4 separate regions of the Mus musculus genome follow, and regions 1, 2 and 4 are each reported to be linked to region 3. The links are microRNA targets in miRTarBase. Many come from high-throughput screens and were not tested one by one. Region 3 holds a microRNA gene; each other region holds the end of a gene's coding sequence.

Region 1 (8,131 bases), not on the chromosome of region 3:
GCCCCGGAGCCTTGCAGGTACGCCACCCCATCCAGCTCTTCATTCAGGAAGCATGAGGACGAGGTAGGTGAGAAGACATTGTGGACAGCCCGGAGAACTAACTGCTGGCTGGTTTCTCTTGTGCTCCCAATTGGTAACTGGCTGCCTCTCTGTGGGCTTCTTTCACTGGCTACATTCAGCCTCCTAAGATTCTAGTCTCTTACCATCCTTTGTTCTGGTGTTTGCTACAAGAGGTCATGATATTCTAGGACAGGCATGCTGAGCAAAATTTGGAATCAGACCTGTGTTTCTGCCTGAGCCGTACTGTCTGTGAGCTCCAGGGTAATCATATAACCACTTGTAACACCCTTGACAGAAAAGAATAGTATCTACCTCTTCTAGCTCTTATCACAAATGATGTATATTAAAGGCTCTGAAAACTGTACAGACGTAGGTCAGATTGTTCTTGGGTATTAATATTAAAATATCTCTCCTTAATCGCGAAGGCATTGTGGCAAGGCAATCATTTACAACCAAAGATCCTTTGCAGTTTAGAGAGGTTACAAGAGAGTGACTGCCCAACTAAGGACTATATGTCACAGTGTCTTTGCATTTGAAAGAGTAAAAGTGACTAGCTTTTACTAATTGGATGTGGGCAAATGTGATATGACTTAGAAGCTAAGGCAGTTAGGTGTGTGTGTGTGTGTGTGTGTGTGTGTGTGTGTGTGTGTGTGTGTATCACCTCCAATTTACTTTTTACCTGAGATGAATGGAGAAGACATGCAGAAAGTAGAAGTTATAAAATGAAAGACACCAAGTCCCTGAATCATCATGTGGAAGGAAGCCACTTGCTGACCAAGAATCCTTAGATCATTACATAAATGAGGAGTGCACTTCATGTTCTCTTAAACTATTGAAGTCTTGGGGTTGATTTATTATGGTAGCTATTATGTCCTGAAAATAAATGAGATAAAGAGATGGGGAAGGTTGTGGCTCAGTTTGTGCACTCTGGCTGGCAATGTCACCTTCATACCGATTCATTGTTGGTTATGGCTGTCAGGTGGTTTGCATATATCACCCTGTGCATCCCACCCCCTTGTGCACATGCTCTGGAATCTCAACATTAATGCTGGAAGTAATTGGCTTTAGAAGTTTTCAGAGGCTGTGAGCCTAGAGGTGTGTCACTCAATCCAGGGACCTAGTTGTTGGTGTCGAGACTCAGACTAAGGTCCTTCCTCTCTCTGGACACCATCCTCACCCCTCCTCCACATTGATTAGGGTTCATCTACTTCATTCTCAATAAAGTACCAAGCCTGGTTGATCTAGAAATGACTCAAAGCAAAGGAGAGATGTGCACAGAAGGCATTCATGTTTTAGTCTCTCCCATGGAATCAGCTTAAAAACACTTTTATCTTCATTCTTAATTAGCAATAACATGGAACAATGGAATAGATCTTTTAGCCCAGATCTTCCTCTCTCCCTCCCTCTCCCTGTCCATCTCTTTCTCCTACCTACCTACCTACCTACCTACCTACCTACCTACCTACCTACCTACCTATTGTTGCCTAGTTATCACCTCCTTGCAGGACTTGCGTTCTCAAATCTTCTTTTCTTAGCCCCAGTTTGGCCAGAAATTTAAACCTAGGCAAGGACAGAGCTCTGCAATGCAGAAAGCGAAGTGGTATTTATTTATTCATTTTTGCAGTGGTGGGACTTTCTTTCCATTCCTTTTCTTTTGCCTTCAACACAAGACCTCCCTGACCTAAACCTTTCTTAGATACACAAGCAGGCCATAGCTAGCATCCGCCTGCCTTTCCCCCTTCTTGAACTCTACTGGTGGTCCCATCTGATCCTCTGCCTTTGGGCACGCTGCTTCTTTTTGTCTGTCTTCTAGATGCTGAGTCCTCTCACCAAAATAAATTGCCATTTATTTTTGTCTCAAGGTCTCATTCTCTGTGAGGTCCTTCTCCATTCTTCTAGGCCAAGTCAGTAATTTGACGGCTGTGTTCTGTGGCCCTCTGTCCATGCCATGCTTCTGAGCACCCGTGGCCCAGGGCCGTTTTCATTTGCACCTGATCACAAGCTCTAGAAGCTTCTCGTCCTGCTCAGCTTAGGAAGGGTCACTGATCTGCAGTGTAATTTCTACATCCTTGTGTTCTCTGTCTTATGTTCTCTGTCTTGTTTGGGCCTGGAATGGATTCAGTCCATAGCTACCCAGCCACATGCGCTTCCCCCACCTCTTCACATGTGTGCCTGTGTGTACATGGACACACACACACATACAGACACACACAAGCACACACAGAGACACACAGACACACACACAGACACACACACACATGCACACACGCACACATGCATGCTTGCACACACTCACCAACACCGCCTTCTACAAAGGTCTCTGCCTTCTAGAAATACTGCTCTGGGTACTAGCAATTAATTGCATTCTCTCAGTTGCAAATTTGCTCCCAGATCTCCAACAGAAAGCTCCAGTTAGTTCTGTGGAGTGGGGTTGTGAGGCCATGAAATCATATTAGGGCTGTCAACTGAGCTGGACGATGGGATGAGCAGACCAGAGGAGGGGAAGGGCTACACACACAGAGAGGCAAGAACTGGAGAGAACACATGAATGGCAGACAGGGAAGGTAGTCTTGGTTCCTCAGGTCCCCCGATCTGAGTTCCACAAACCCCTCCCCCACCAGGCATCCCAGTGCACGCCCCTCTCTGTTTCGAGAACCATTTTCATTGGTTCCTATTTCCTAGAACCCAAAACACTGTGTTAAAAGAAATTTTACTTCATCTTCTCCACTGTGACCTTCTTATGGTCAAGGACTAAGTCTTCATTGTGTCACCAGAATGTAACTGAACACATGGGAGGTGCACACAGTAGGAGTTTTGAGTGAGTCCTGAGCAAACAGACATGACTCTGAGTCTCTGTGTAAGGAGCCCTGGCTAAGTATGTCTTTCTAGTCAGTCTTTCCCTGCCCTTCCCTTCTTGTACAAAACGTTTCCTTGCTGCTATCTACACAACCCACATGACCTACGTCCTCCTGCTTCCTGAAGTCTGGCTGTGACAGATATCATTTCCATGAACTTTTTTTGTTTAAAAAAAATACTATGTCTAGCATATTAGTCCTTGTGTGTGATAGGAGACAATACCTTCAGTTCAATTGCATCTGCCTCAGCAGATACCCAAGGTGGCCCCTGGACCACTCATTGAAGAAACACAGGGGGAAAGCAGGCTGTGTGTAGAGACATATAAGTAGACCTTTTATTTTATTTTTATTATTTTTTTTTGAACCAACCCAACATTTCCACCGGCAACTGTCAACACAGCTTAGGACACGAGCATTGTTTTATTTTTTATTTTCTTTTTAAAAAATCTGTTTAAAATTAAACAGGTGTCGTTTTAATTTTGTCTTTCTCTCTTAGAAAATGTATTTATGTCAATGCAGAAAGCCTCAAGACCCGTGGGCAGTTTTGTAGTGTGTGTGTGTGTGTGTGTGTGTGTGTGTGTGTGTGTGTGTGTGATTTAAAGCCAGGTCTTTTCAAAACACACAGGGGAAAGGTCTGGGAGGTGGGGTGTCAGCGTGTCAGTTCTTGTTTTCTAGAAGCCTGGATTCTTTGGCAATGTGGTGACTTGGATCCCTTGGGGGCAGGGCATAAGAAATGCCCCACAGTCTGGGAAGAGGGAGCTTTATGCGGTTTAAAAACAAGCAGGAACATGGGGGAAATGAAGGATTCCGGTCCCCATCCAATGAACATGCTTTCAAAAGTGGCCTGAAGGCCAGGAGAGGGGGAAGGAAGCCCCTGTTCTCTTACAAGCCTCCAAATTCATTTCAAGCCACCTCTTCAGCCCTCGGAGTATGGCACATCAGCCAGGGAGGGGTGGTGACGCTGCCATGCCCCCAATCACTGACACTTTAAGAGACCCTTAGAGACACACTCCCTTAGAGACCTCCCCAGTTGAAGACCCTCTTCTCCCCCACCTCAGACACAAACTCAGAAACATTGGAGAGGTGTTCCCCGTGTGTCCCCGGGTGCCCTTGGTCAGCCTGGAACACTCTTATCTCTGCTCTGAAGTCTCTTTGTGGGAGGGCACACACACACACAGGTGCAGCACAGAGACGTAGAATGGCTTCCACTGAGAAGAAGGTGATTCCTCTGTGGTTTGGCTTTGATGTCAATGCACGAAGAATGAAGCTCCTCCTATGCCCTGAGTTGGAGCCAAGAGATGGCAGCGGCCTGATGAGAGTGGGAGGGTGTCTGTCACTCAGATTTGGAATTCCTTCAGGGTCCTTTGTCACTAACTTCAGGAAGAGAAGACAAGACAATAACCTGGTAGGAGAATGAAAATGACTACAATGACGACCAGGTGAAGAGAGCATCCCAAGGCAGCCATTGTCCAGATGGCTCCTTCTCATACCCTGACAGCTGAGTGAGGGAGTCTTGATGCATCTTGCTGGAGACAGGGCAGATCCTGCCCCTTGTGGGGAACTAGAGTCAAAGGAATAGTTGGGTGGTGGGATAGAAGGGGACGCTCAGGGCTGTGAGTGGCAGGATGGGGAGAGGTGGATTTTTTGCTGTTGTTGGTTTGTTTTTAATTAAATACTTTGGACAGTGGATGCCTTCTCCAGTTTATTGGATTGGTTAAGTTTTGCCCTTTCTGTGCAGTGCCAGGGCCAAGGTCAGGTGAAGTTCCTGGGGCTCGGGTCCCGATGTGTCTGCTCCAGGGATGAGTAACCTGGGAAGGTTGGTGAGGATGCGTCCTTCTCTCAGGAGAAGTCCCAGGTCTGCCCTGTGGCGGTCTTGTTCCGGCGGTTCAGAACCCCTTGATGTAGCAGTAGGCCTCCAGCGTGGCAAATAGTATGTAGAGGAGCCATAGGCTCACAAAGAGCCATGTCGTGGCAAGCTTGCAGCCACGAGGACCTCCGAGCTCCCCGCCCAGATGGGGCCGCCGACGATACAAGAGCACACTGAGGCAGACAAATGCAAAGATGGTGAAAAGAGTGACCGAGAAGGCCAGAGTGCCAGCGGACACATGGAACTCCTGTCCCTGCATGGCCCAGTAGATGGCGGCCACGGACCAGGCCAAACCAATACCCAGGAAGACATTGACGGCATTACTGCCTGTGACGTTGCCAATGGAAGCATCTGCATACACGTCCTGCAGGGCAGCGGCTTTGCTGGCAAATGTATCTGGAAAAGGACAGAGACAAATGGGAGCTGTGGGAGGATGGGCTGAGCGGGGCCTTATGAGCATCCTTTATAGGCAGCTTGGCAGCATGGGCAAAGGGACCACTTCCAGCTCTGCTACTCTTGAGCTGTGTGGCCTTGAGTGCATCCAATATGGGTCAGGGTTTCCTAGTCCTCATCTGTAGGTATCTGAAGCTTTCTACGAGCTATTCCCATCCCAATATTTACCTATCAGGCATATCGTTCCCCACTGACTCTGTTTTTAGCAAAGAAATAATTCATAACATCTACCCAAGGAACTTTCACATCCCTGGAAGCAGGTTGCCACTGTCATGTGGGTCATGCACTCACGTAACCTCGACGGCGACTGAACGATGCCCATGTGCTCAGGAAAATAAGGGCTAAGGCATCTACAGAAGGTCCTTAAGTTAGCTAAAGACTTGACTCTAGAATTCCTGTGGAAGAATCCTTTTCATAGTATCCTCCCACAGCCAAAGAGTTTCATCAAGAGCCATGCAATCAGAGATATGAACCATAGCATATTCTTCTGAAAGCCCCGGTGTCGTCATGTGCTTTCTGGACCAATTTTTGGGTCTTGGAAATACCTTAAACTATGCCCCTATGCAGTATATCCTGATATCTCACTGTTGCCAAGTTTCCTGGATCTCCCAGGGAAAGTGTCTTGGTCTATCTTAACTATAATTTTTCAGGTTGGCTCTTATCTATCCCTGGTTATTTTCCCCATATGTCTTTCCCCCTCACATCTGCCCCTTTCCCTCTGATGGCTGAGGCATGTCAAGGCCTGGGGAGCAGTGAGCACAGGGCATCTCACCTGCAAGGCTCCTGGCACCATTTGATTTCTTAACAGCAGACTCACTTCTATAATAGCCAGATTTCTGACATCACTAATTCATAAAGCAGTTCTCTCAGCCCCCCAGTCTGAGCTGGGATTTTAGAAGAAAGATTTCCTGAAATGTGCTGTGGGTATAGTGTGATGATTCATTTAGAGTATTAACTTGGTTAGATGGGGATTGGTCGAATGGTATCTGTGGGTGTGTCTGTGATGAAGTTTCCAGAGATTATTAGATCCTAAGGGCTATGAGTCAAGGAATGGACACATTCACTAATGAAGTCATAATTCAGTGACATTATTAGGAGGCACTGAAAGGCAAGAGGGACCTAGTTGGGGCAGGTATCTCACTGGGGAACATTTCTTGGGGGATAATAGCTTGCCTTGGGCCTTTTACCACATTCTTTGTTTCTTGTCAAGCAAGATATGAATTGCTTTTCTCCATCGTATCCTTCCATGACATGTTGTGCTGACACCCCAAAACTGTGAATAAAATGGATTCTTCCGTCTTTAAGTTTTTCTCTTGGGATTTCTGTCATAGCCACACTGAAGAACTTAATACTTAGAATTGACCTCTGGAAGGGTATCCTTCTTTGTTACGGTGACGGATGCCCCAGATTCACCCTGGAGACCTTTGCCTGGTGAGATTTAGTACAAATACTTGAAGCTAGCAAAAGGTCAGAGTTCAAATGCCGTAGAAACCCAGATTGAGTTAAGTAGGGAGCCTGGCCTAATACCTGCTACTTAGTATTTGTCATTCAGGCATGGTTTCCATAGGACCTGCCCTGACTCAGCTTAACTCAAGGTTTCCTGTTTGACACCTTTACTTCATAGGAATTATTAAGATGGATTTTAATTAGTTGGGTCTAGTCTCCTTTGCTAGATTTTTTTTTTTAGCTAAGGGCTGAGGAGGAAACATGTCTGCCTTGACTCACATAATAGATCTGCAACCAGCACAACACCGTACCAGGCATCTTGAGAGCTCAGTCAACATTAGTCTACTAAACGAATTAATGAATAGTTACTGCGGTTTGCCTTTGGATGCTTAGAAGAAGATAAACAGCATGGAATTCCTCACACTAAAGGACAAATCCCACTAAGGTTCTCATGCCAGTTCTGATAGGAGACGCTTTGACTTCAAAGGTGACCACAGGAGCAAGGGAGGCCAACAAGGATTGTAGGTATCTTTATGGGGACATCTGTGAGCAGGCTAATCTTTAAACTCTCATAGGCTGCCGAAGGCAAATGGAAGGGCGTTATTCTATTTATTTAATTACATTGCGTGTATCTTATTAATATAACATGAAGGCTAAGAAATCGGGCCACTCACTTGGTTAGGTACCATATACTTGGTAGGCCTCAGTTTCCCCTGTCTAGTAAGGCTTGGATGAGCAGGGCAGGGATTGGCCATGTGAATTGTTTGTGACCCACAGGGCCTGCTGTTTCTGATCTGAGATTAGGCAGAGTGTAGGGGTCATTTAAATGAGGGGACATCCTCCCTGCAAACTTAAGCACTCCTCACTCTCACCTGGCACAGAGGTGCCGAATGCCACAAAAACAACAGCTGTGACCGAATCCTTGAGCCCGATGGTGCAGCCGAAGTGAGAGGCCAGGTCCCCGATGATGGCGGTGAGCATGCCAATAATGAGGATGGAGACCACGAAGCAGGCCCAGCCGTGGCAGTACTCTGTGGGGGGCACACAGGCAAAGAGCACCTTCCAGAAGACCGTCAGGAAGTGCATGACGTAGTCAAAGCAGGATGGCAGCCTCTCCTCTCCAGATTCGTCTTCATCCTCATCCCCTCCTGGAGATAAGATAAACAGGCCTGAGAAAGGGAAGGGAGGTCAGAGCTCCACCCATGAAAATGTCAAGTCCAACCCACATCCCAGGCATCCCAGGCCAGAATGGGGATCCAGCTCTCTCTGGACAGCAGGTGGGAAACAGGGTGGGCACCACACAAACAGTTGGGAAATGGGAAACAAACTGGTCATGCAGCCACTGATCAGCTTAAATGCAGGGTGCTGAGTGAGCACGGAAGAAGGCAAACAAGCCATGGGATAAAGAAAAGGAATAGAGAATGGGATTAAGAGGCAGGGTGGGAAAACA
Region 2 (8,131 bases), not on the chromosome of region 3:
CAGACCCTAAGAGAACACAAATTCCAGCCCAGGCTACTATACCCAGCAAAACTCTCATTTACCATAGATGGAGAAACGAAGATTTTTTTCCATGACACAACCAAATTTACACAATATCTTTCCACAAATCCAGCCCTACAAAGGAGATGGAAAACTCCAACACATGGAGGGAAACTACACCCTAGAACAAGCAAGAACGTAATCTTCAAACCCAAAAGAAGATAGCCACACAACCATAATTCCACCTCTAACAACAAAAATAACAGAAAGCAACAATCACTATTCCTTAATATCTCTTAACACCAAAGGACTCAATTCCCCCAATAAAAAGGCATAGACTAACAGACTGGAGACTCCAGAGAACCAAATAACCCTATCAAGAAATGGGGGCCAGAGCTAACAGGATTCTCCACTGAGGAAACTCAAACAGCCGAGAAGCACCTAAAGAAATGTTTAACATCCTTAGTCATCAGGGAAATGCAAATCAAAACAACCCTGAGATTCCACCTCACACCAGTCAGAATGGCTAAGATCAAAAACTCAGGTGACAACAGCAGATGCTGGCAAGGATGTAGAGAAAGAGGAACACTCCTCCATTGTTGGTGGAATTGCAAGCTGCTACAACCAATCTGGAAACCAGTCTGGCAGTTTCTCAGAAAATTGGGCATAGTAGAGGACCCAGCTATACTACTCCTGGCCATATATCCAAAAGGTGCTCCAACATGTAATAAGGACACATACTCCACTATGTTCATAGCAGCCTTATTTATAATAGCCAGAAGCTGGAAAAGAACCCAGATGTCCCACAACAGAGGAATGGATACAGAAAATGTGGTACATTTACACAATGGAGTACTACTCAGCTATTAAAAACAATGACTTCACAAAATTCGCAGGCAAATGGATGAATCTAGAAAATATCATCCTGAGTAAGGTAACTCAGTCACAAAAGAACACACATGGTATGTATTTACTGGTAAGTGGATATTAGGCAAAGAACATGGAATACCCACAATACATGGACCACATGAAACTCAAGAGGAAGGATGACCAAAGAGTGCATGCTTCAGTCCTATTTAGAAGGGAATATAATCAAGGGAAGTAGAGGGTGGGAGGGACTTGGGAGGAAGAGAGGAGGGGGAGGGTGAAAAAGGGTGGCAGAATCAGGTATGGGAGGAGATAGAGGAGAAGTACAGAGGATCAGGAAATTGAGCAGATGTGTGTAGCAATGGGGGATGGGGAACTGGGGGTAGCCACCAGAAAGTCCCCGATGCCAGGAAAGCAAAAGCCTCCCAGGACTCCACGGGGATGACATTAGCTGAAATACCCCACAAAGGGGAGGGAGAACCTGTAGAGACCATATGCAGAGGTTAGGCATGGCCCCCTGGTTGAGGGATGGGGCCACTTACCCATCTCCAAAATTTTAACCCAGAATTACTCCTGTCTAAAGGAAATATAGGAAAAAGAGCAAAACAGAGACTGAAGAAAAGGCCATCCAGAGATTACCCCACCTAGGGATCCATCCCACATGCAGACACCAAAACCGGACACTGTTGCTGATGCCAAGAAGTGCTTGCTGACAGGAGCCTGATACAGCTGTCTCCTGAGAGGCTCTGCCAGATCTTGAGCAATACAGATGTGGATGCTAGCAGCCAACCATCGGACTGAGCACAGGGACCAAAATGGAGTTAGGGGAAGGACTGAAGGAGCTGAAGGGGTCTTATCTGCCATCAATGTGAGGGGAGGCCCTTGATCATGTGAAGGCTTGATGGCGCAGTGTAGAGGAATGCTAGGGTGATGCGGCAGGAGTGGGTGGGGGAACACCCTCATAGAAGCAGAGTAAGGGGGGATGGGATGGGGGTTTGCAGAGGGGAAACCCAGAAAGGGGAGATAACATTTGAAATGTAAACAAATACAATATCCAATTCAAAATGATAATCTAATAAATTTAGGTGATTATGGTGCTTAGGGGGAGAGTTATATACTAAGTAGTAGAATCATTCTTAATTTTTGAACTGGACAATTAACAAAAGAATGAGATAAAATTCTGTGACTATTGCATTTGGATATACACTTATGTGTGTTTTCAGTAATAAAAAGTAATAGTATAGAATGTGCATGGTTTAGCTTCATACCACCACAAGGGAGGCATATGCTGAACACAGAGGCTTTTACAATTCTAATTACTCTAAGTCTATGTGACTATCATGTTGGCCAAAGAGCTGGTGTAATCATAGCTTGTACTATAGAAAATATATTCAGGAAATATGATACAATTTTTATATTCCAGCCAAAAAATAGAACTTCAGCAGCATGCTTTTCCAGCCCCAACACACACACACACACACACACACACACACACACATACACACACACACACACACACCTTGGCTAATAAGCACATAAAATCAATTTTATAAAATATTAAAGGGTACTGAAAAGATGGTTCCTAAGTTTAGAGCACTTGACGCTCTTAAAGAGGAACCCACAAGATAGCTAATAACCATTTGTAACTCCAGTTACAGGGGATCCAACATTGTCTTCTGGTCTTTTTGGGCACCCAGCATGCATGTGGTGCACAGACATACATGGCATGCAGGAAAAATACCCTTATGCATAAAAGAAAAATATTGCTGGAAATGCTATTGTATTCTATGTAACAGTGTATGAACAATGCAACTAATATTAAAAATAATTGACTACTAGATGATTTGAGATGTATTTCTATAAATCCAGCGTGAAATATTTCTGTCCTCTAGCACTTCAATCATTAGAACGTTCTGTATATGCTTTGTCCTGGCTACTTTTATGTCAATTTGACACAAGCTAGAGTCATCTGAAAGGAGGGAAACTTGATTGAGGAAATGCCTCCATGAGATCCAGCTGTAAGGCATGTTTTTCTTAATTAGTGATCAATAGAGAAGAGTCCAGTCCCTTGTGGGTGATGTCACCCCTGGTAGTCCCGGGTTCTATAAGAAAGCAGGGTGAGCAAGCCAGGGCAAGCAAGGCAGTAATCGGCACCATCCATGGTCTCTGCATGAGCTCCTGCATCCAAGCCTGCTTGAGTTCCTGCCCTGACATCCTTCAATGATGAGCAGTGTGTGGAAGAGTAAACCAAACAAACCCTCTTTCTCCCCAAGGTTCTTTGCTCATGGTGCTTCCTCACAGCAGTAATAACCCTGAGACATACTCCCTATACAATCCCAAACTCTATGGTAAAGCATCTGACTTGGAAAAATGCAAAAGAACTTCTAGAAACAGTAAGCTCTTCTTTTCTTGTGATTACAAAATATAGCTTCTTTTTTATTCTTTTAAAGTTTTATTTAGATCAGGCAGTGGCGGCGCATACCTTTAATGTCAGCACTTGGGAGGCAGAGGCAGGTGGATTTCTGAGTTCTAGGCCAGCCTGGTCTACAGAGTGAGTTTCCAGAACAGCCAGGGCTATCCAGAGAAACCCTGTCTTGAACCGTCCCCCAAAGTTTTATTTATTATTGTGTGCATTTATAATGTGTATGTGGTTGTATGTATGGGATGAAAGATGCTTGGTCAGACAGCAATTTGGTGGGGTTAGTTATGTGAGCTCTGGGGATCAAGCTCAGGTCTTTAGGTTCACATGGCAAGTGTCTTTACCCACTGAGCCAGCCCATGACTACCAAATGTATTTTCTATACAGTAAATTGATAATAAGTAGACATATCATATGCTAGTAATAGCAACTAAAGATTAGTATAAACATACTCATTGAGAAGTATGAATACAAAAATTCACACCCAAGTTTTGAAACAAAATATACCTAAAACTATGGCCAGCATTCAGCTCGGACTTGCTGGTCTGGGCTCCCACAGACGTTTTCTGAGAAGCCTGGGCTTTGTGTGGTAAGTAGCACCACCATTGGTAGTTTTTAACAGTTTGACTGTAATCCCTACTTGTGATTCTACACAGCTATGAACACTGGAAGAGAGCTGAAGCTGAGCGGAGTGGCGCACACTTGCAATGCTAGCAGTTGGGATGTGGAAGCAGGAGGACCTGAAGCTTCAAAGCAGCTCCTGCTACACAGCACCTTCTAATACAGCCTGAGCTAAAGGATACCTTGTTTCACAAATAAAAAGGATAGCCAAGGAAGGCAAATATAATCGTTGAGTGTGGTGCCTTGTACACTTGAGAGACTGAGACAAAAGTTTAACTATGAGTTCCAGGCCAGCCTGGACTACAGAGTGGGACACTGTCTCAAAACACACACACATACACAATTTCAGATATAAAAACACAATTACTAACAGATTGCTATAAGTGCAACTTGCATGTTCTGTTAATATTCCAATGACACATATTATTATCAGTCAAAGAGCAAATATAATGAAAGCTGGCCTTGGTGGCACAAGCCTTTATTCCCAGCACTTGGGAGGCAAAGACAGACAGACTTCTGTGAGTTCAAGTCTAGACTGGTTTACATAGTGATTTCCAGGACAGCCAGGGCTACACAGATGAGACCTTCTCTTTTAAAAAAGACATGAAATACTCTAAAACCAGGAAGTTTACACCTAAACTTTGAGAGCCATTCACCTCCAAATGATGGTAGCTAAGAACTTGACCAACAATGAAAGGTGAGACAATTCACCAGTTTGAACAAAAGGGGGGCATTTTAAAATCAAATTCACAAGAACCTCTTGTTGTGAGCTAAGCTCCTGAATTAGACCCAAACAGAAAAATCAAGATCAGGCACTCATATTAAGCCCCCATTTAACCAAAAGGAAACTAAATTGTCTTTCTGACTGTCTGAGAAATAGATTAGAGAGATTTAACAGTTAATGAAGATTCCTCTGCCTTTTTTTTTTCTTTTTCCCCGAGATAGGGTTTCTCTGTGTAGCCCTGGCTGTCCTGGAACTCACTTTGTAGACCAGGCTGGCCTCGAACTCAGAAATCCACCTGTCTCTGCCTCCCAAGTGCTGGGATTAAAGCCGTGCGCCACCACTGCCTGGCAGATTCCTCTGCCTTAACGCTGTCATAAGAAAGGGTGACCTCTGGACTGGAGAGATGGCTCAGCAGTTAAGAGCACTGACTGCTCTTCTGAAAGTCCTGAGTTCAATTCCCAGCAACCGTGGCTCACAACCATCCATAATGAGACCTGACACCCTCTTCTGGTGTGTCTAAAGACAGCTACATCATACTTACATATAATAATAAGTAAATCTGCTGAGCGTGGTGGCGCACGCCTTTAATCCCAGCACTTGGGAGGCAGAGACAGGTGGATTTCTGAGTTCGAGGCCAGCCTGGTCTACAAAGTGAGTTCCAGGCTAGCCAAGACTACACAGAGAAACCCTGTCTCAAAAAAAAAAAAGAAAGAAAGAAAGAAAGAAAGAAAGAAAGAAGAAAGAAAGAAAGAAAGAAAGAAAGAAAGAAAGAAAGAAAGAAAGAAAGAAAGAAAGGGTGACCTCAGATTGACGTTATTTGGGTACAGGTTTTTGTTTTTCTTCGTTTGTCTCCCGGTCTTTGCTTTACAAGAGTAGGAATTTTGAAATGTTACCCAAAAAAGGAAGAAAAAAATAGAAATGTATACATATAAGTATTATTAAATGCTGTGTTTTAAAATAATCTAGTTAAAATTTTAAGCTAATAGTCATTAAAACAAGATGCTGCTGAAGAATGCTGTCTTAGGGGGTGACTTCGCTGGCTGTTGGCTTGGGCTTCACTTGTATATTGAGCACATAGTCATGGCGGAAGGATGAGCGGACTGTGCGATTCATCAGCGGCTGAAGAGGGCGGAAGTTGTCCACCATTCTTTTCTCTTTCTCTCCCTCAGAAGTGAAAAGCAGGGTCCGAAACTGCTCAAGCTAGAAACAAAACATTACGAATATCAATCAGAAACAAGCTTTAGTATATGGATAAATTACTTTCTTTTTTGTTTGTTTGTTTGTTTGTCATGAGTCTCACTGTGTAACCCTTAGAACTCATTATATAGACCAGGTTGGCTTCCAACTCCTGGAGAGCCACCCCCTTCTGTTTCCTAAATAACGGGATTATAGATATGCACCACACCACACTTGGTTTGCTTTCATTTCTATAATTCTACAATCCTTTGTCTCAAATTGGATTCAGAAAGAGAACTTATTTCTGAGAATGCTCTCTTCACCCCTTGATAAGGGGTTAAATGCCATGTTGCTGGCATGGTTGTGTGACAGCAGCAGGAAGTGGTCAAAAGCCAAGCTTTTAGAATCTGAAGATTAGGGACAAAGGCCCTTGTCCCAACATATTAATTAGCTGTTTGCCAAAGGTGAGTTACAGCATCTCCTTGGTTCTGAGGTATGTAGGTGGAGAGAAAAGACTAGAAAAATGATACATACAAATGATTGCAGTTTGTCATAAACTTATGTATATTATAAAATCAGAAAGATTTGCCCAAATAATTAATAATGCTGAGTGCTAAAATGACCAGCGATTAAGATTATAAATGTCAGATAACATTTTCAATGTTTTGTTAGCATATATTAATTATATACTATAATGGGTCTCATTATGAAATTTTCTTACATGTAATATATTTTGATCCTACTTATTGCTTCCCCATCCCCATTATCCTCTCCTTCCACCTACTGATCCTTTTTAAAATAAACCGCCAGCCCACACCTATTAAAAGCAAAAGGGATGATATTGAAAGCAACCATGGCAGGGACTCTGAGCCTCTGAACAATGACCATTGCACTCCAACAAGTTCAACACAACCAACTCGCTCACTCGACAAATCAAGGCTGATCTGACATTGGTACAGGAACAGCATCAAAAAATTCTAGAGTTGGGTTTGAAGATATGACTCAGTGGCTAAAAGCAGTGGATGATCTTCCAGAGGTCCTGAGTTCAATTCCCAGCACCCACATGACAGCTCACAACTGCCTATAATCATAGTTCCCTGGGATCAGATGCCCGATTCCGGTGTGCAGGACATTCATGCAGACAAAATACATAAATACAACTTTAAAAACAAACAAACAAACAAAAAACCACTCCAGACTCAGTTAGACTTCCTGGCAGCCATGGTATTACAAAGTAGATGAGGATTAGATCTCATTCTGGCAAAGAAGGGAGAAATCTGTGCTGTGTAAGTGAAGGAATATTGTTTCTACATGAATTTCTCAGGTGTCATAAAGAACAATGCCAGAAAGCTAAAAGAAAGAATAGAATCACAAGGCAGATCCCACCCATCAGGCTGGACAGGTTTGGAGGGTACTTGGGGGACCAAGGATAACCCCCTTTATTGGGCCCCTAATCTTGATAGGTCTAGGTCTATTTTCAGTCTCTATGCTTTAAAATTCCTCTCTCATCTGTTGCAGCAATGAGTTTAAGCCTATGTCAACTATCACTCAACTCCTGACTAAGGACCACAAACCCCTCAAGTCCTGGAAGCAGATGATCCCACAAAGCCAATATACATTCATGAGCAATCAAGATACTTTGATTTAAAACAAAACCCCTTTCTCTCTCACTTATAATGAGCCCTCAAGCACAAAACAGTTAAGACGGAATTGGTGGCCCTGTCCCCACTTCTTTCTATGCTTCAGGGGCTGGAATGACCAAGGGTCTGGATATAAAACAGAGTTTCCATGAAATTCCAGATGGCCTTGCTCACCCTTATCAGACACACACACAGAGAAGATCTATTTGATGGGACAGTATACCTCCCAAGATAATCTGGTTTGGGCAAATGAATTCAGGAAGGAGTGTCTACAGACCACACATAGCCCTCCCCAAAGCCATGTCAACTTCCTCATTCCCAAGCTTACCACCAATCTCCCTAAAGGGTCCTAGCTAACTTGTTCCCTACACAGGGCCTCTATCCTGTGGGGAAGGGCTTGCCTTTTGCTGTCTGAAATAAACATCTCCTCTGCTGAGGTCAAACTCTGGTCTCCTTTCTGCCTCCTGTCGCATTACTCTATGCTCCAAAAATCTAACACTGTCCTTCTTCCTAACTACTTTCACGTCTTCAAAAATATTATATGACCCAATGAGTTTCTTTAGGGTCACTTACAGGAGGGTGGGCACCTTACCAGTAGGCTATGCTGCTAAGGAAATGTCTCTCCCTCCTTCCTGACTTTTTTTTTCCCCTTAAAGATTTGCTTATGTATTTTATGTATGTGTT
Region 3 (8,131 bases):
TCCAACTCAGTGTCAGTGTTGACTTGTGAGCCTTCTGGTCATCTCTCGCTTACTGACTCAGTCTGCGCAGGTTCACTTCCATTACAAACACAACACTTCCTGCTGTAGCACTAAGGACCAGTGACCCCTAGACATTGAGCTTGTCATTACAGTGCGTGCACAGGAACCCAGGTGTTTAAGGGAGTGGGAAAGATCTTGCTGAGGGGGCAGGCAGGTACAGGCTGCAGGGTGAGAGGTCTGTAGACCTGCATGGGGGGCTGGGTCACCTTTCCTCCAGCACTTGGGTACAGTGGCCACAGAGGAAGTGGGTATTTCTCATTCTGAACTTGTCTGAAATTACAAACACCTTGTAACTCAGAAGCACAGATTCATCACATGGTCTATGGGTGGCTTAGTCCTGCCTTAACTCCTCTGCCCTCCTGCCTTCCAGGCTGCCTCTACTGGGAGGAGCACAATGGACCTTACCAGTCCCTTGTCTAAGCTGAAGGCCACATTGTCAAGGTGCCCAGGTGGCCTGCCAACGTTTCTGCTGCTCATTTGAGTCATAGTTGTGTGCTGTGTTCCTTCTATCACAGGGCCTTTCACGTGCCCTGAGTTAACTTCTGTTCCTTCTTCAATTCTTACTTTAGACTTCATTGCTCACGGGGAGAAGTGGGAGGGGGAAAGTTGCCCTGTTCACTCTGCTGGGCTTAGTGGTTCATTTGATGAGGGTGACCTCATTATCAGAAGACGCAGTCCACAGCATCAGCACCCTCACTTTCCATGGGGAGCCTGGTCACCAAAAGCCTTCACTGAGCAGAATGTGAGTTACACCTGGCCTTCCTAGGTGCTATCCGGGGTCATAGCAGAGCCTGGCCCCCACTAGCCTTCATACAGTTTTTTTTTTTTAAAGGTAGTATGTATGCTCTGCCCTTGGTCCAGAGCTCAGAGGGAGCCTGGACTGTAGACTGGACCCTGCATGAGGCACAGTGCCCTATGTGCAGTGTGCCAACATTGCTTCTGCCTCTGAGGTGGCATAGGTCACTCCATCTCTGACATCCTATGCACCTGGCAGTGCTAAATACCTTCTTTGATGTACAAGTCTTCATATCTGCCTGGGCTGTCACCCAGCCTGTGTAGAGCCCGTGACTATAGCTACCTAAGTGAGTCAGAGTGGTCTGGAGCCTTCCGTGGGTTCTAAGCCAGACCCATGTGCTTAGAAGCCTTGTACCGGTCATGCTTCCTTCTGCCTTCTTCTGGCTCATCTGTCTACCCGGTATCTTGATGTGGGAGGAGTGTTCCACACCAAGTCTGTCTGTGTGTGCCATATGTCACCCTTAGCCTTTTGCCTGGGCATTTTCCATGGGGTTCAGATACCACTGTGCTCCGTGTTGTGCGAGCTTCCCTCCAGGCCTCTCCTCACTCAGATCTCCCAGTTTTTCTCCAATTTCATTTCACATCTTAATCCCTGGGCCTATGAGGTCAGCTTTAATGGCTCTGGAAAGCAAGAGCCCAGCCTAATTTTTGTCAGATGTGGCTCAGTCCCCACTTCCACTGCATCTGTCCCCATCTGCTCCTGCACGTTCCCTTCTGCTCCTCCAATGGTTTTATTCCACCACATCTTCCTGCCTGCGTGGTGTTCAGTGGGCATGGGCATGGCATATAGTGGGGTTTGGGTGACACAATGGGATTAGGTAGAGAGCATCCTGCCTTTTCCTGTGCTTTCTGTTTAGTTCTCTGATGAGACTGTCTCACTCCACATGTGTAGTAGCTCTTGGGGAACCTGTCAACCTGTTTTGGACTTAAATGTGTATTCTGAGGAAATCAGTATCTGCTCTGGTCACTGGACACAGATCAGCTTCAGAGATGGGCTGTGTGGGATCCCAGCCCCACAGAGTGTGTGAGGCTCATGTCATGCATTTGAGGTGGCTGAGTTACCTGGTGAGCTGGTGACCCTGAACAGTCTCAGTTCCCAGCAATGTCAGTGCTCTGACCATGCCACTCTGCTAAACAGTGTTCCAGAAGAACAGGCCAGAGCTCCTATGATGTATCCTGGCCCAAGCCCCCCTTTTGGTTCTCAGAACAGTGGTTGATGCATAGACAGTGTGTGTGGGTGAAGGTAGGGGTCAAAGAAAAATTAAAATTGTCAAAGTTGTAATTTCACAATATCATTTCTTCTGACACAAATATCTGTAGTGTGTTAGCACATGGCTTTCCCTGCTGCTTCACACCTACATACTGTCTGGCTTTGAACACTCCTGCCCAATACTAAATCAGGCTGATCTGAGGGAGATGTACTAGGAGGCTATAGTCACACCTCTGGCCTGGCTCCTAGCCCTCAGGGTCACTTTCCTCTAGACTTGTAGTCTCCATGCCGGGCCTCCTGCAAGGCCCTCTATGTTGTGGTTTACTTGCCATCTGCATGCTATTCCGGGTGTGATCTGAAAGTATAAGTGTCTGTGCTGCTTCCAGTCCCCTGTCTTCCTCTCCTCCCCTCCTTGCTAGAAAGGGCACTTCAGTGACTGATCTCAAACTAGAGCCTGCTAACTTGTCCCCAGGAATCTGTCCTGTGACCTGACCAGAGGGCAGAGTATCCTGAGTAGCCTGTCCGGAATGCTCAGAGCAGATGGAGTCCTGTGACTATGTGACGTAGCAGCATTTCCTTAATGATCCCACGTGGAAAATCACCTTCATCAGCTCTGCTGCCTGAGCCCCCTGACGGCATAGCCCCAAAGTGCCACCCCACATTGGGCTGGCCTTGTCTCTGAAGCTACCTGTGCCTCGCTCTCCAGAGCACCATGTGTAACAGTGCTATAGAGTTCTACTTACACTGGCTTGTGGCCCTCCCCTCATCCCTGGGCTGCTTCAAGTGACAAGGGTGATAGATGGGGTCTTCCTAGACACATCTCCTTTTCTTTGTTGTAATATTTTCCTGTATCGGGTCATCAGTGAATGAGCTACCAGATGACACATGGTTAAATACTCAGTTTGGATAGTGTGGCTTAATATCGTCACTGAAAAGTGATCTGCACACAGAAAAGTGCACAGGCAATGAGCCATGGATCCAAATTGCAGCAGACAGCACCAGGAGGGTGATGGGACCAACTGCAGCCCCTCCTCAGACTTCACTCAGGGGCTTTTGCTTTGTGGTGCACTTATAAATGCCTTCCCGCCTTCCGTATGCTCAGCATCATTCTTTCTGCTCTGTGTTGTATGCACACCTTAGGCAATAGCTTCTCTTGTTCAGCCCTGGGAAGTTGAGATGTGTTCTTTTCTGAAGTCTAGAAAGCCTTGGCTAGGTTTCAGGTGCAGTACATGTTGCTCAGTGAACAACATGGGTTGTGGGAAGTAGAGCTGGATATAGGTACCTGTGGCCTCCGAGGTGCAGGTATGTCTGTGATGATCCTGCAGAGTTGACTGGAGCTGACCTTAAGGACTGCATCAGCAACAACAGCCTGAGCAGCAATGCCAGCCTCCCCAGTGTGCAGAGCTGCCGGCGCCTACGAGAGAGGAGAGTTGCAAGCTGGGCAGTGTCATTTGAGCGTCTCCTTCAGGATCCTGTTGGTGTTCGCTACTTCTCTGTGAGTAAGGGGGACTGCTGTGGGGTGGCAGCACTTTGAGCCCGGGTGCTTGAGCTCACGGGGCCATCTCAGACCTCAGAGCCTGGGCATCACCTTGTTAGAGGTGTGGTCGTCCAGCACCTGCTCCAAGCTCAAGGATGGGGTAGGTAGCGTGTACACTTGTAGGGGCTGGCAGTTCTGTTTTCCCTTCCTGGCCTGCCTCCTGCCCTGGAGTTCCCTGCCGGCACACTTCCCTCTCACTCTCTCGATGTCTGTGCAGCAAGGAACATCAGAGTGTCTTGGCTCTGTGTGTTTGTTTTTTTTGTTTGTTTTGAGACTGGATTTCACTATGTTAGTCAGTCTGGTTTGGAACTCATAATCCCCCTGCCTTATCCTTCTGAGTACTAGGATTACAGTTGTATGACATCATCCTAGCTGGAGCTTCTTCAAAATTCTTGGAAATGCATGCTGACAAATACAGCTCTTAAGGATCCAGAAGTAGGGATGGAGCTGTGAAAGAGTGATTACGAGCAGCACGTGATAATAGTGTCAGTGATATGATGTCATATTTTATATGCTAACCAGAGACTAAAAATATATTTCTTTAAAAAAAAAAAAAAAGATGACCAGCCCTTGAGAAAAGAGCTGTGAGGCAGATGGCCCGCCCACTCACGTGTGCTGCGCAGCCCCTATGCCTGCTTTCAAGGCCCCTGCGAGGCTCCTTTCCTGCCATGGTGTAGACAAAGAGGGCCGGGGATATGGGGCTCAGCTTCATAGAGGGGTTGTGGAGTGACAACTGCTCTCCTTCCTGTGTTCCCTCAGGATTTTCTACGTAAGGAATTCAGTGAAGAGAACATTTTATTCTGGCAGGCCTGTGAGTGCTTCAGTCATGTTCCTGCACATGACAAAAAAGAGGTAAACTGCTCTTCAGAGCAGGGGCTGTGTGAGGACCGAGGTTACATCAAGGGTTGCTTGAGCAGTCGATGAGGGATGCTTCTTACTGACTTTAAAGAACGGTGACATTTCTGCTTCAGCATAAAAACTTAAGTGTGTGACATTTAATTCTGCCTAAACATAGTCTGCATAAATGCCTCGCCACAGAGCCTGGCAGTGGTGGCACTTGACGTTGGGTTGGGTAAGAAGGAACAGTGTTTGAAGAGACTTGGAGAAGCACTCTGGCAAACTGCAGCCTCTACCTGTGGCTTAACAGCACCTGTCTAGCTGCCCCAGGACTGCCCAGGCCATGTCCTGTGGCCTTTCCCCCAAAGTAACAGCTGTCCTCACAGAGTGGCCTCATGCCTGTGTCTTGTGCTCTGAGCATTGTGCACTTTTGCCCTCCCCTGTCGTGCACACTTTGCTGGCAGATCCTCCTCTGAGGCCCTTACAAAGCAGCCATTTAGAAATTTGCAGCCATTTAGAAATTTGTAGAGGAGCCGATTCAGGAGTTTCCTCCTGGCTCTTTCTTTTATATTTACTTTCATAAGCCAGACTATAGACAGGGCCTGTGACTCAGCTCTCCAGCCCCGAAGCAGAGTCAGCCTTAGGAATGTTTGAGTGACACAGGTGGGAAGTGTGTGTCCAGTGGGTGTGTCTACAGATCTGCTCAGACCTTTCTACCTGTCAGCTCTCTTACAGGGCCCGGGAGATTTTCAGTAAATTCCTGTGCAGCAAAGCCACCACTCCTGTCAACATTGACAGCCAGGCCCAGCTGGCAGATGACATTCTCAATGCACCCCACCCTGACATGTTCAAGGAACAACAGCTCCAGGTGACTTTGCAGACAGTCTTCCATGGGGCTTCCAGCCAAGGCTTGGGGGTGCAGAGTCACTCAGAGTAGCACGTGCCCTTCTGGGAAGGGGGCTGCTGGTCATGTGGGCATGGTGACAAGCCCATCTGACCACTGGGCTCCAGTCTCAAAAGGATTCAGTAGATCTGAGGAACAATAAAGCCTTTGCCACAGATAGCCCCATGTACCCACTGTCAACCGAAGTAAGGGACAATATTACTTTTCAAAAGTCTATGGGGCTGGTGAGACTGCTCAGCAGATAAAGGCTCTTGCCGCCAAACCTGACAACCTGAGTTTGATCATTGGGACCCACATAGTGAAAGGAGAGAATCAACTTCTATAAGTTGTACTCTTTAGACACGGACCATGGTGGGTGTACAACACACACACACACACTCTCTCTCTCTCTCTCTCTCTCTCACTAAATAAGTAAATGAATAAATAAGTATAAAAAAATTGTATGCACATTGGACACACTTGACCTACAGAACATGACAGCTACAGCGTGGCCACAACAGCACATTATGGAAGGTCAGTGGTCTTTGATGATTGCAGGGCTGACTCTGAGCAAGTTCGGTGTCACTTCCAGCATTTGAGAGCGGATGATAACTGCATTATCCCAGCCCAGAGAAAGCTTTCTATGAGCACACGTCGCTGCCACACTAGTGTACATCCAGAATGCTGTGGACCTGTCTGTATACTTACATGTTTACGTGCTTAGTAGCAGTAGCAGCAATTGTCATTTGAGACAGGATCTCACTGTGTAATTTCACCACCATTGACATGAAGCTCACATACTCGTGCCTCAGCCTCTGCCGGATCACAGGATGCACATGGAACCCTGTTTACATGTTTGTGTCTTAATTCTGGAAGAGCATGTGATCTGACCCGTCCAGAACACACTTCCCAGCCCTGCCAGCTGCTGTGCCGCTAGGTTGCAGGAATTAGCTTAAAACAGAGCAGAGCTTCCCCAGGCCTCACTTACCCTTGAGACAACTGCCTTCCAAGTTCCTAGGAAGTGAAGGCCTGCTAAGGGTGCAGCCACAGTCTTGAGTCTGCCTGCCCTTCTGGCTGTGCCTATGCCTATGACTCTGCTCTTACTAAGAGTGACAAAGGAGAGGCTGTTGACAGGGATCAGAAGGGTCCCTGGAGAGTTAATTAACATCTGAGTGCCCTGGGGCCCAAGGGAGGGTTGGCAGGAATGACACCCTTCCAAAATGTCACTCATTCATGGGTACAGACCTCCTATACCGCCTAGGACCTAAGGAGTTACCGTTCTTTCTGTGACTATACTGCATGGCATCTGCTCCACAGATTTTCAACCTGATGAAGTTTGATAGCTACACTCGCTTTCTGAAATCCCAGCTGTACCAAGAATGCGTCCTGGCAGAGGTGGAGGGACGTACCCTCCCGGACTCTCAGCAGGTCCCCAGCAGCCCAGCTTCCAAGCACAGCATCAGCTCTGACCACTCCAATGTGTCCACACCAAAAAAGGTGCTGGGCTAGCCCTTGTGGGGGTGAGAGTAAGGCTGTAACCACACATCCTGTCACCAGCAGAAGGTGGGGCCTGTAGGACACAGATACTCCTGAACCCTTTCCTGATCCCCTAACCCCTGGCTACCTCGGTGGTGAAAGAGAGGACTGTGCCCTTGACCCACTGAAGATTCTACCTGATTCCTCAGAATCCTTACTCATAGAGCTCTGTGTTGAGCCCCTTTAGTGTCTTAACTGATGTTTCTATTTGGTGACAGTTAAGTGGAAAATCAAAATCAGGACGATCCCTGAATGAAGATGTTGGGGAGGAGGATAGTGAGAAAAAACGCAGAGGGGCCTTTTTCTCTTGGTCAAGGAGCAGGAGCACGGGGCGGTCCCAGAAGAAGAAGGACCATGGTGACCATGCCCATGGTATGTGAATGCAGACCATGCTGTTGTGGGCGGGAGCTGGACTGCTGTGGTAACGTGAGAGGCCATGGTGGGCAGGCAGAGATACAGCGGAGTTATCTGGAGGGATGAAGAAATGTCACAGATCCTGGGAATCCAGCAGAGTTGGGGATGAGCCAGCCTAGGAAGCAGGCCTGCTCCAGAACCTTCTGGAAACTCCTTGATGCAGCGTGTCTGGCTGACTGGGCTCCTTTTCTTCTTGCTATGAAAGTTGCAGGTGCTTCAGTAGGAAACTTGGAAAACAGAATCAAGCAAAGAGAAACAAACACAAATGTGCTGTCCCCGTAGCCAGGCACAGCTTCTTGCCTGTGCCAATGCATGTGCGTCAGCCATTGTGTTGGTGGATGGGGACTTGGAGATGGGGTGTGCGTCCCATGGAGGCCTCCCATACCTGGCAGACTTGCAGTCATCTGGAGAGGGCTGCAGCAGAGCTCAGATACTCTGTCTGCCTGGTACAGGGTCTACAGATGCCCGAGAAGGTACTTGTTCAGAGTAGGTCACTGGATCCAGGAGCCTGAGTGTCAGACTTGGGGTAAAACAGTGTTTAGGCCCTTACATCGTATGTAGGCTGGCCTAGATCATGGTTAGAACAATTAATGACTTGGACTATTGGCTATGAATGGGATTTGTGAGGAAGAAGATGGAAAATGGGTTACTAGTAAAATGAGTAGCCAGCTGGTCACAGGGACAGGCTTCTTCAGACCCAAAATAGCACTTTGAGATAGAAATCATGGCTCAAATAAGACATGTCCACCCAGGGACATGAGCCTGGGCTGCACAGCACTGCCCCCTGCTCTAGTGCCTGGCAATGTCTCAGGTCCTACAGGGCCCCCACAGTGGTGACCTCCTTGGTGACCCTGACCCT
Region 4 (8,131 bases), not on the chromosome of region 3:
GCTGTAGGCACTTCTCCGACTGAGGCGACCATGGCAGCAGTAGCAGCGCTAATGCGGAAAACGCTAGATTATCTTAAGACCAAGGAGTTTCGGGATTATATAACCAGCACCCACTTCTGGGGTCCTGTGGCCAACTGGGGCCTTCCGCTGGCCGCCTTTAAGGATATGAAGGCGCCTCCCGACATCATCAGCGGCCGCATGACGACCGCCCTCATCTTCTACTCCATGGCTTTCATGCGCTTTGCCTACCGTGTCCAGCCTCGAAACTACCTGCTGCTGGCGTGCCATTTCTCCAACGTGTTGGCGCAGAGCATCCAGGCGGGCCGTTTCCTGAAGCACCAATATGGTGGTGGAGCCAAGGCCAAAGCCACCAACCCTCCGGCCAAATAGGCCTCATGACTGGGGGAAGGGATGAGAGGGGTAGCCTGAACCAGATTTTGCAGCTTGCAAGCACTGGACTCTATTCCTCCTAAAGAAAAGCCAAGGAAAACTTTGGTTTTCAAACCTGATTTAAACCAGATTGGTTAATTAAAAAAAAAAGCCATCAAATTGATATTGAGTGTTGCCTGTTTTGTGAACTGGGAGGGGAACGGTTTCCTAGGTAAGAGGGAGGGCAGATTGGTGGGTTGGTCTCCCTCTTCAAAAGACTTCAGGGAGGAAGACAAGAGGAGAACCAAACTATCTCATAGCTTTGCTTTAAAAAATAAAACAACAACAACAAACTGCACAAAACCAACCAACCAAAACCCTCTCTAGGGAACAGGCTTTTGGGTACCCAGGGTGTTTGGCGCCACGGGCTACTTAAAATTTGGTAGTGACAAATCCCTACACCAAAGGGGGTTCAGTTGGGGGCTATTTCTGTAGAGAGAAATGTTTAGAAGGGAGTTTAAATGTAGTGAAATTCCAGTTTACATCTTAAGAGTTTAGTGCTCTTGGTTACCTAGAACAATAATGGAAGTTGCCATGGAGATGGGATAAAGGACTCAGAATGGTTTCTGGGCTCAGGATGGTTGCTGTCAATTCAGCAAGTTCTAGGAAAACATGCCCAAATTATAATGCTTTCCCTTTAAAGTGGGAAACTACAGGAGTTTGTGCAGTTGCTAAGCCCTGCCCCAGGGTTAACTAGCTAGGGATGGGGTGGGGGGGTGAGGGTCACTGGTCAGCAGCTCAGAGTATCCCCTAGGAATTTTCTGGGTGCCAATGATGTATTAAACCGAAAAGCTTGTAAAGAGGGAAGACCGATGTTGTGAGGTAGGATCATTATAGCTAGGACAAGCTGTCCCCTGGGGTTTGATCCACACGGGCCTTGCCTAGGATTCTGCTGAATACAGGAAAGCCCATGTGGTTTTGGGGGGACTCAATACACATATTCACAAGTGCTGAACCTGCCTGTGGTCAAGCTTACAGATGCAAAGAGATTTAAACCCCTTCTTATAGGTTCTGAAGCCATCTGCTCTTGGCTAAGACAGGCCAACAGTGGAACTCCAGGAAAAGCTGCAGGAACCAAGCATCTAAGCATCCACGCATCTGCAGCATCCTAGCAAAAGTCATTCGTGGGAAGTCCCTTTCATATTCTGAATATGAGGGTGGAGGGTAGGGCACAAATTATAGGACAGGATATTAATTGCCTGCCACAATATAACCAGCCACCCAATAATAGAACAACATACTCTCACAGTTTTGTGGTCTCTGTGGCTGGAAGCTCTATTTCCAGGTTCATGGGTGTTTGTGGGAGGCTTCAGCTCTGTGTCTTCCTGTAGCAGTCTCCAAAAGACTGCTCAAGGCACAGCATGGCTTCCCCCACCGTGGTGTTGGCAAAGGATGGAAGATTAAAGTCTTACTGTGCTGAGGCTTAGTCACGAAGTGATTTATCATCACTTTTGCTATGTTCACAAAGCAACCCTGCTGCACTGTGCAATACCAGAAAGCAAGGATCACTAGGGGTGTGGAGGCTGGCCTGCCCCACAAGGTTCTGAAATTAAAAATGCCCTGCTACTCTGACAGCCTTGCAGTTATAGAGACCACCTTGCAAAGAGCTGGTATAAAGTGCTCTGCCAAGTCCTTAAAGTTACGAAGTGAACTATATTAAGATTTTTATTAAAACATTAAAGGATTTTTTCACTCCACTGAGAATCACATGAGTTGAAATTACTATTTAGGCCTGTCTTGCAAAGTGTATTTTATAATTTGAATGTGTTTTAATACAGGCCACTGTTGAGTGAATGCTTTGCAGAGCAGGTAAATTTCTAATTAACCTAGTAAAGGGAAAGGAGGCAATCTCTGATAATTTCCTGATCTTTGCAACTATGATTTAGCCATTTTTTTTCTACAAATTCTTTCAAACTATCAAGCACCAGTGTCCCGGGGAGAGGCTGAGTGTAAAGCGTACTGGATGGAGACAAGGCACCCTACAGGCGATGAGGGCAGCCTTGGTAGAAGGCTTGTCTTTCCTGGGTTTCTTTCCCTGGTGCTAGGATTCAAAAGCACCCCTGGGGGTGGAGCTACAAAATAAGAGGCCACAGCAAACTCCATATAATCTGACTCGCATGGCTTACAATTTGGTGTGTTATTCATGCGCCTTGTTTTGAAATTAAAAACTGTAAGAATTTTTCAAAATACACAGATGCATGTTTATTATAAAAAAGAATATACAAAGCAGAAAAGCTAAATTCCTCTGACTGCTCCCACAGCCCCAATTCCTCTTAGAGACATAATATAGAAGAAAGGCTTAGAAAGCAGACCATCCCTTTCCAGAGCTCAGTTACTATAGCACACAAACAGCACTATAGCATGCTCATCATTATTCAATACTTTGTTTTTCTATTGATTTGCTTTTGGCAGTGGAACAGCCATCTAGTCAAGGTATTACACATGCTGGGTAGGCAAGCGCCCCACCACGGAGCTCCAGTCCACCCTTCAAACCGTTTCTTTCCTTTAGATGCCTTACAGGTAATTCCCATGACTGCACTTCATTATGGGGTCATTCTTTAGAATAGTTATGTGGTGGACTGGCTGGATTTGTGTGTCAGTTGACACAGCTGCAGTTATCACTGAGAAGGGAGCTTCAGTTGGGGAAATGCCTCCACGAGATCCAGCTGTAAGGCATTTTCTCAATTAGTGGTCAAGGGTGGAGGGTCCATTGTGGGTGGTGCCATCTCTGGGCTGGTAGTCTTGGGTTCTATAAGAGAGCAGGCTGAGCAAGCCAGTGGAAAGCAAGCCAGTAAGGAAGATCTCTCAATGGCCTCTGCATCAGCTCCTGCTTCCTGACCTGTGTGAGTTCAGTCCTGACTTCCTTTGGTGATGAACAGCAGTATGGAAGTGTAAGCTGAATAAACCCTTTCCTCCCCAACTTGCTTCTTGGTCACGATGTTTGTGCAGGAATAGAACCCTTACTAAGACAGGTGGCATAGTACAGATGTTCTACAACTTATTTAGTAGGTCCTCAACTTGTGAACATCCATTCGGACATACCCAGGCACAGTTCTGTGGAAGAGACGTGGGACAGGCCGCTACCTCTGTATTCAGCACATCTGTCTTCGAGCCCTTTATACAAGGGTCTTGCCTTTTCTGTTTCAATTCACTGTAATGTTACTGGTATAGTTCTCTGAACAGAACCTCTGAACTGTCCGAGTGGCAGATGAAGGTAGTAAGACTGGATTTCACCACTCGTTTCAATGTCTGGCACAGGTTTGACACTTGGTGTGTGTTGAATTGATAAGGACAAAATAACTAGACAAGAATAAAATGAAAGGTTAGGATCTCAAACTTCCTACAGTTAGAAACCAGGTCTTTGTGGGTTAGTGCATCAACATTCTATGTTTTGTACTTCAGATCTAGAAGGGAATTGATTTTTTTTCCTATGGCAAAGTGGCAAAATAAATGCAAAATCTTGCTTTGCTTGAAGTCTTCTCAAGGACTTTCACAAATGAAGGGAGAAAGAAACCATAACACTGAAAACTAAACAGCAACCTGGAAGATTAAATAAGCAAGCTGAAAGCACATTTGTATTCATTTGGGTTATAAAGTTGAAATACATGCCAAATCCAGTTTCTATTGCTACCCCCTCTCTGGAGGATCCCTGTTGGGCAGGCAGCTGGCCAGGTGAGGGAGTGACTTCATCTTTGCCGAGCCTTGGCATGGAGCGTTTCTTCTAGGTAGTTCGGGGAACATAGTAACGTCCAGAGGTGACATGAAGCAGTCTAATGGCAAAGACCCTGGGAATGAGCAGACCGAGGAAGAAATGGAAGTGAGTCTGACTCCCACAGAACACTGCACACAATAGTACAAGGCTTCCACACAGTTCAAGAAGAGCAGAGCTGGGAATGAATTTATGAGCACGGTGAAAGAGAAAGTTTTGTTTGACTACTGCTAAGAATGAAGTTTCCAAGCACTTTCCTAGCATTTCCAGAACCACACAGTCCCAGAGCCTGAGCTGCAGTACTCAGGAGATGCTGCAAGTGTGCGTGCTTTGCTCCGTCTTTGGGGACAGCGAGCTGAGAACTGACACCAGGGTCGGGCAGAGGAAGAAAATGTTGTATAACTGCCTCACATCCACCTCCTTACGATTTGTTTTCATTTTGAAATAGGGGCTCCCGAAGTTGCCCTGGCTGGCCTAGAACTTGGGATCCTCCTAGCCCAGCTTTTGGAGTAGTTGAGGTCACAGGCATAAACCTTCTTGCTTCACTTCTGTCTCTGGCTTCGAGCCCACAGTAACAGTTCCACACTCAAGAGGAAATGGTAGAAAACGACCACTTTCCTCTTTCCTTTATCATAAGTAAAAACAAAGTTAAACATTTTTATTTGGACACTTACTTCCCGCACCATTCCTGGCACATCACATAATTCCAAGTTGATGAATATGAAAAAAGTATCTCTGATGCATTATAGAAAGGCACACAACAGAAACTTGTGTGCTTTAGAAATGTTTCCTCTCTGCACAGAGAAGGAGGCCTGACCTGGAAGCCAGGCCAACTTTCACAAAACAAGCCTGGATGTTGCGAAGGACAATGTAAAATAAGACCGTATTTTCATTATTATTTGGGAGAAGAACAGTAGAGATATTTACATTAATCAGCTTTCTAATGGACACTAGCCAAGCACAATTAATGCTACAGTGAAAACTGGGTATCCCGGGCATCATCTGAAAGCAGAATGGTTTTAGACCATGTCACAAATGATATAGTGGCTCAGCTAACACCAGACCTTGCCTTCAGGGTTATGTGGCTGACCTTGCTCCAGAATGTTGAGCTTTCACAGGTCTGTGAGCCACTAATGACAGAACAGGCACTTGGCCTGCTTTTGAAAAGGTTTCTATGTTTGTTTGTTTTAAGACAGGCTCACTATGTATGTATAGTCTTGGCTAGCCTGGATCTCACTTTGTAGACCAGACTGGCCTTGAACTTACAGAGATCAACCTGTCTCTGCTCCCCATATGCTGAGATTAAAGCTATACATCACCATTCCCAACCTTCCTTTCTAATAGTAAGGGCACAGCGAAGAGCAAGTGAGACTGTTGGTTCATATGAGAAGTCAGACATCAAAGGGATAAGGCTATTGTGTCCCTCTTTAACATTCAGTACCTACACTCACCTCAAGCCTTCCTTTCAGGTGTCTGTCTACCGGCATCCTTTGAAGTTTGTTTTTGATGCTGTAGATGGAGGCTCTCTAGCTTCTGCAAGTCTTCTGTAAGGCCGTTTCTAAGATCTGTGTTGCTTCCCAGAAAACCTTTCACCACATCCAGTTGATTTGAGATCTGTAAGAGGAAAGTGTACAAAATGCTGCTTAGGATAATTACTGTAACAGAATTCAATTAAAATGGAACAGTGTAATCTCAAGATTGGTTCCCAGGGCTGCAGGAGAAGCTCGGCAGCAGGAGCACACTTGGCATGTGCAAGGTACTGCCTTCCAGCTTCACTCTTGCCCTAAACCACCTGTTCTGTTTATATGCCTACTACAAGACAGAAATGCGGACTACTGGCAAGCATCTACACAGAGGTTGAGTGGATGGCATTGTGAAGAAATACTGAACCAAGCACACACACACACACACACACACACACACACACACACACAAAAGGTACACTTAGCCAGGCATGGTTTTCACACCTCTTAAAGTCAGCAGTTTGAAAGCTGAGGGAGGAAAAATGAACACAAGTTGCAGGCCTATACCAAAAAATAAGTAAGACAAAATAAAAAAGCACCTGCCACGCAAACCAAACATGATCACAGAAACATCAGCCACATAAAGGATGTCTATATAAGTATTACTGATGGAAGATAAATCTATAAAACAGTACACATGCCAAAATTCCATGTCAACAGAGTATAAGGTTAAAAAAACCTTAAATCTCACCCTAGTTATTCCATTTCCTCCTTTACATGTAACCATAGCAAAGGATCCAATTTCTTCTAAAAACATGTCATGTGTTTGTGTGTACACATTTTTGAAATCACAGACTATGTGTACACAAGTATTCTGTTATCTCCCCACCACTCTTTAGCCCTCTTGTCCCCTTACTCCTCCCTAAGTGTCTCTTCCCGAGATTCAGAACTTCTGACTTTATTTATCCCATAGGACCCATTTAGTTGAATCAGGGCCATCTGTATGATCACCCAGTTGGGGCTATTCACAGCCACTTACTGAGATCACCAAGGGCTCCAGTAACTACAGGCACTTGCTCTCTCTGAATCTACTAGTAGCGAAGAGGTCAAGACCTCTTATACATATATGCAAAATACAGGGTGTCTCTGTGTAGCCTTGACTGTCCTGGAACTCACTCAGGCTGGCCTCGAACCCAGAGATCTGCCTGCCTCTGCCTCCTGAATGCTGGGATTAAAAGGCGTGCACCACCATCATCCAGTTTTAATAATTAAAAAAAAAAGGTCGGGCTCCCGTTACTTACCTCCTGTCTCAAGCCTCGTTATTTTATTGGATTATTTTACATGTATGAGTGCTTTGTCTGTCTGTCTGTGTATGATGCCTGCAGAGACCTGAAGAGTACATCAGATCCCTCTGAAACTAAAGTTACAGATGGCCATGAGTCACCATGTGGGTGCTGGGAACCAAACCTGGGTCCTCTGCAAGAGCAGCCAGTATTCTCAGCCATAGTTCCATATTTCCTAAGCCTGATTTTTAATGGCTGAATAATATTCCAATTGTGGAAATTTCACTTTCAATACATTCTGAACCTTTTGTTGAAACAAGTAACCATGTGGAATTTACCCTCACACATATGTGGCTCACATAAATGACATTTCTGTTTATAGAAATAGTAGGCAGCTTTAACTCTGATTGAGTGGAGTCTGTCTTAATTTTAGTAGTTAGCTAGAAATGCTATGTATAGAGGTTATACTGATTTAAATCTCCCAGCAACATACTCCTCAACATTTTAGCCATCTCAAGAGTGGTAGTGTCTGCACTGGTCTTATCCCAGAACACATTCACTGGCCCCTAGTCTTACAAAAATGCCAGACACGGGCTGGTGAGATGACTCAGTGGTTAAGAGGACTGACTACTCTTCCGAAGGTCCTGAGTTCAAATCCCAGCAAGCACATGGTGGCTCACAACCATCTGTAATGAGACCTGACTCCCTCTTCTGGTGAGTCTGAAGACAGCTACAGTGTACTTATATATAATAAATAAATCTTTTAAAAAAATGCCAGGCACTATTACTATTAAACTGATGGAGCTGGGGAACTGAACCAGGGCCTTGAGTTTGCCTATCACTGAGCTATTCCAACAGACACTCTGATTTGAGGATATAGCAAGTTTATTAGACGGGGGGTCCACCAACCACACAAAGTCAAGATTACTTAACTCTAATGACAAATACTAACACAACAGAAAGGCATCAGCTCTGGAGTGCAGAAAAAAGGGACCGGGCCACAGCAGAACCAGCACACATTCAGCACACATTCAAGGCCAATGCTTGATGCCAGGGATGCGGGAGGGAAGATAAGTAAGAACCAGATGCTGAAGATGGCAGAAGGCCTGCTCACTGGTTAGAAAGCATACAAGGAGAATGCCCTTCAGCTGGCCTGTCTAGAGGCCCTACAAAATGCCAGGCTTTGGTTAACCTCCTGAAAACACAAAACTGTGAGGAGCAAAGTAGTGCTAATGATCATGGCATGT

Evidence for each region. The annotated mature microRNA mmu-miR-3097-5p reads CACAGGUGGGAAGUGUGUGUCCA and lies in region 3 at 5,098-5,120, shown strand. An mRNA with a match to its seed (bases 2 to 7 or 8) in the 3' UTR can be bound and repressed. Matches are read on the target gene's strand: a 7mer-m8 pairs with bases 2 to 8, a 7mer-A1 pairs with bases 2 to 7 and ends in A, and an 8mer does both.
Region 1: miRTarBase lists Slc8a3 as a target of mmu-miR-3097-5p. Seed matches in the 3' UTR shown: 7mer-m8 at 4,090-4,096 and 7mer-m8 at 3,377-3,383.
Region 2: miRTarBase lists Car5b as a target of mmu-miR-3097-5p. Seed matches in the 3' UTR shown: 7mer-A1 at 5,454-5,460 and 7mer-m8 at 5,242-5,248.
Region 4: the mRNA of 1810030O07Rik is a reported target of mmu-miR-3097-5p. Seed matches in the 3' UTR shown: 7mer-m8 at 3,398-3,404 and 7mer-A1 at 2,945-2,951.

Annotation. Positions count from the first base shown.
Region 1 is chr12:81,194,690-81,202,820 of GRCm38, forward strand. It overlaps Slc8a3 (solute carrier family 8 (sodium/calcium exchanger), member 3), which reads right to left. Exons shown (of 7, transcript NM_001167920.1): 6 at 7,554-7,829; 7 at 3,226-5,178. The coding sequence ends at 4,802. Among named protein-coding and RNA genes, the nearest start is that of Gm3693, 30 kb to the right of the region's middle.
Region 2 is chrX:163,973,540-163,981,670 of GRCm38, forward strand. Car5b (carbonic anhydrase 5b, mitochondrial) reads right to left here. Exons shown (of 8, transcript NM_181315.4): 8 at 3,283-5,831. The coding sequence ends at 5,652. Gm38561 (a long non-coding RNA gene) reads left to right here. Exons shown (of 4, transcript XR_878297.3): 2 at 1-3,260. Among named protein-coding and RNA genes, the nearest start is that of Gm38561, 19 kb to the left of the region's middle.
Region 3 is chr5:35,015,953-35,024,083 of GRCm38, forward strand. It overlaps Mir3097 (microRNA 3097), which reads left to right and starts at 5,097; the gene lies at 5,097-5,163. Rgs12 (regulator of G-protein signaling 12) reads left to right here. Exons shown (of 17, transcript NM_173402.2): 5 at 3,391-3,560; 6 at 4,362-4,454; 7 at 5,164-5,307; 8 at 6,640-6,819; 9 at 7,077-7,230.
Region 4 is chrX:12,652,273-12,660,403 of GRCm38, forward strand. It overlaps 1810030O07Rik (RIKEN cDNA 1810030O07 gene), which reads right to left. Exons shown (of 7, transcript NM_175141.6): 6 at 5,590-5,752; 7 at 2,607-4,214. The coding sequence ends at 5,591. Gm4984 (predicted pseudogene 4984) reads left to right here. Exons shown (of 1, transcript NM_001101484.2): 1 at 1-553. The coding sequence starts at 31. The coding sequence ends at 390. Among named protein-coding and RNA genes, the nearest start is that of Gm4984, 4.1 kb to the left of the region's middle.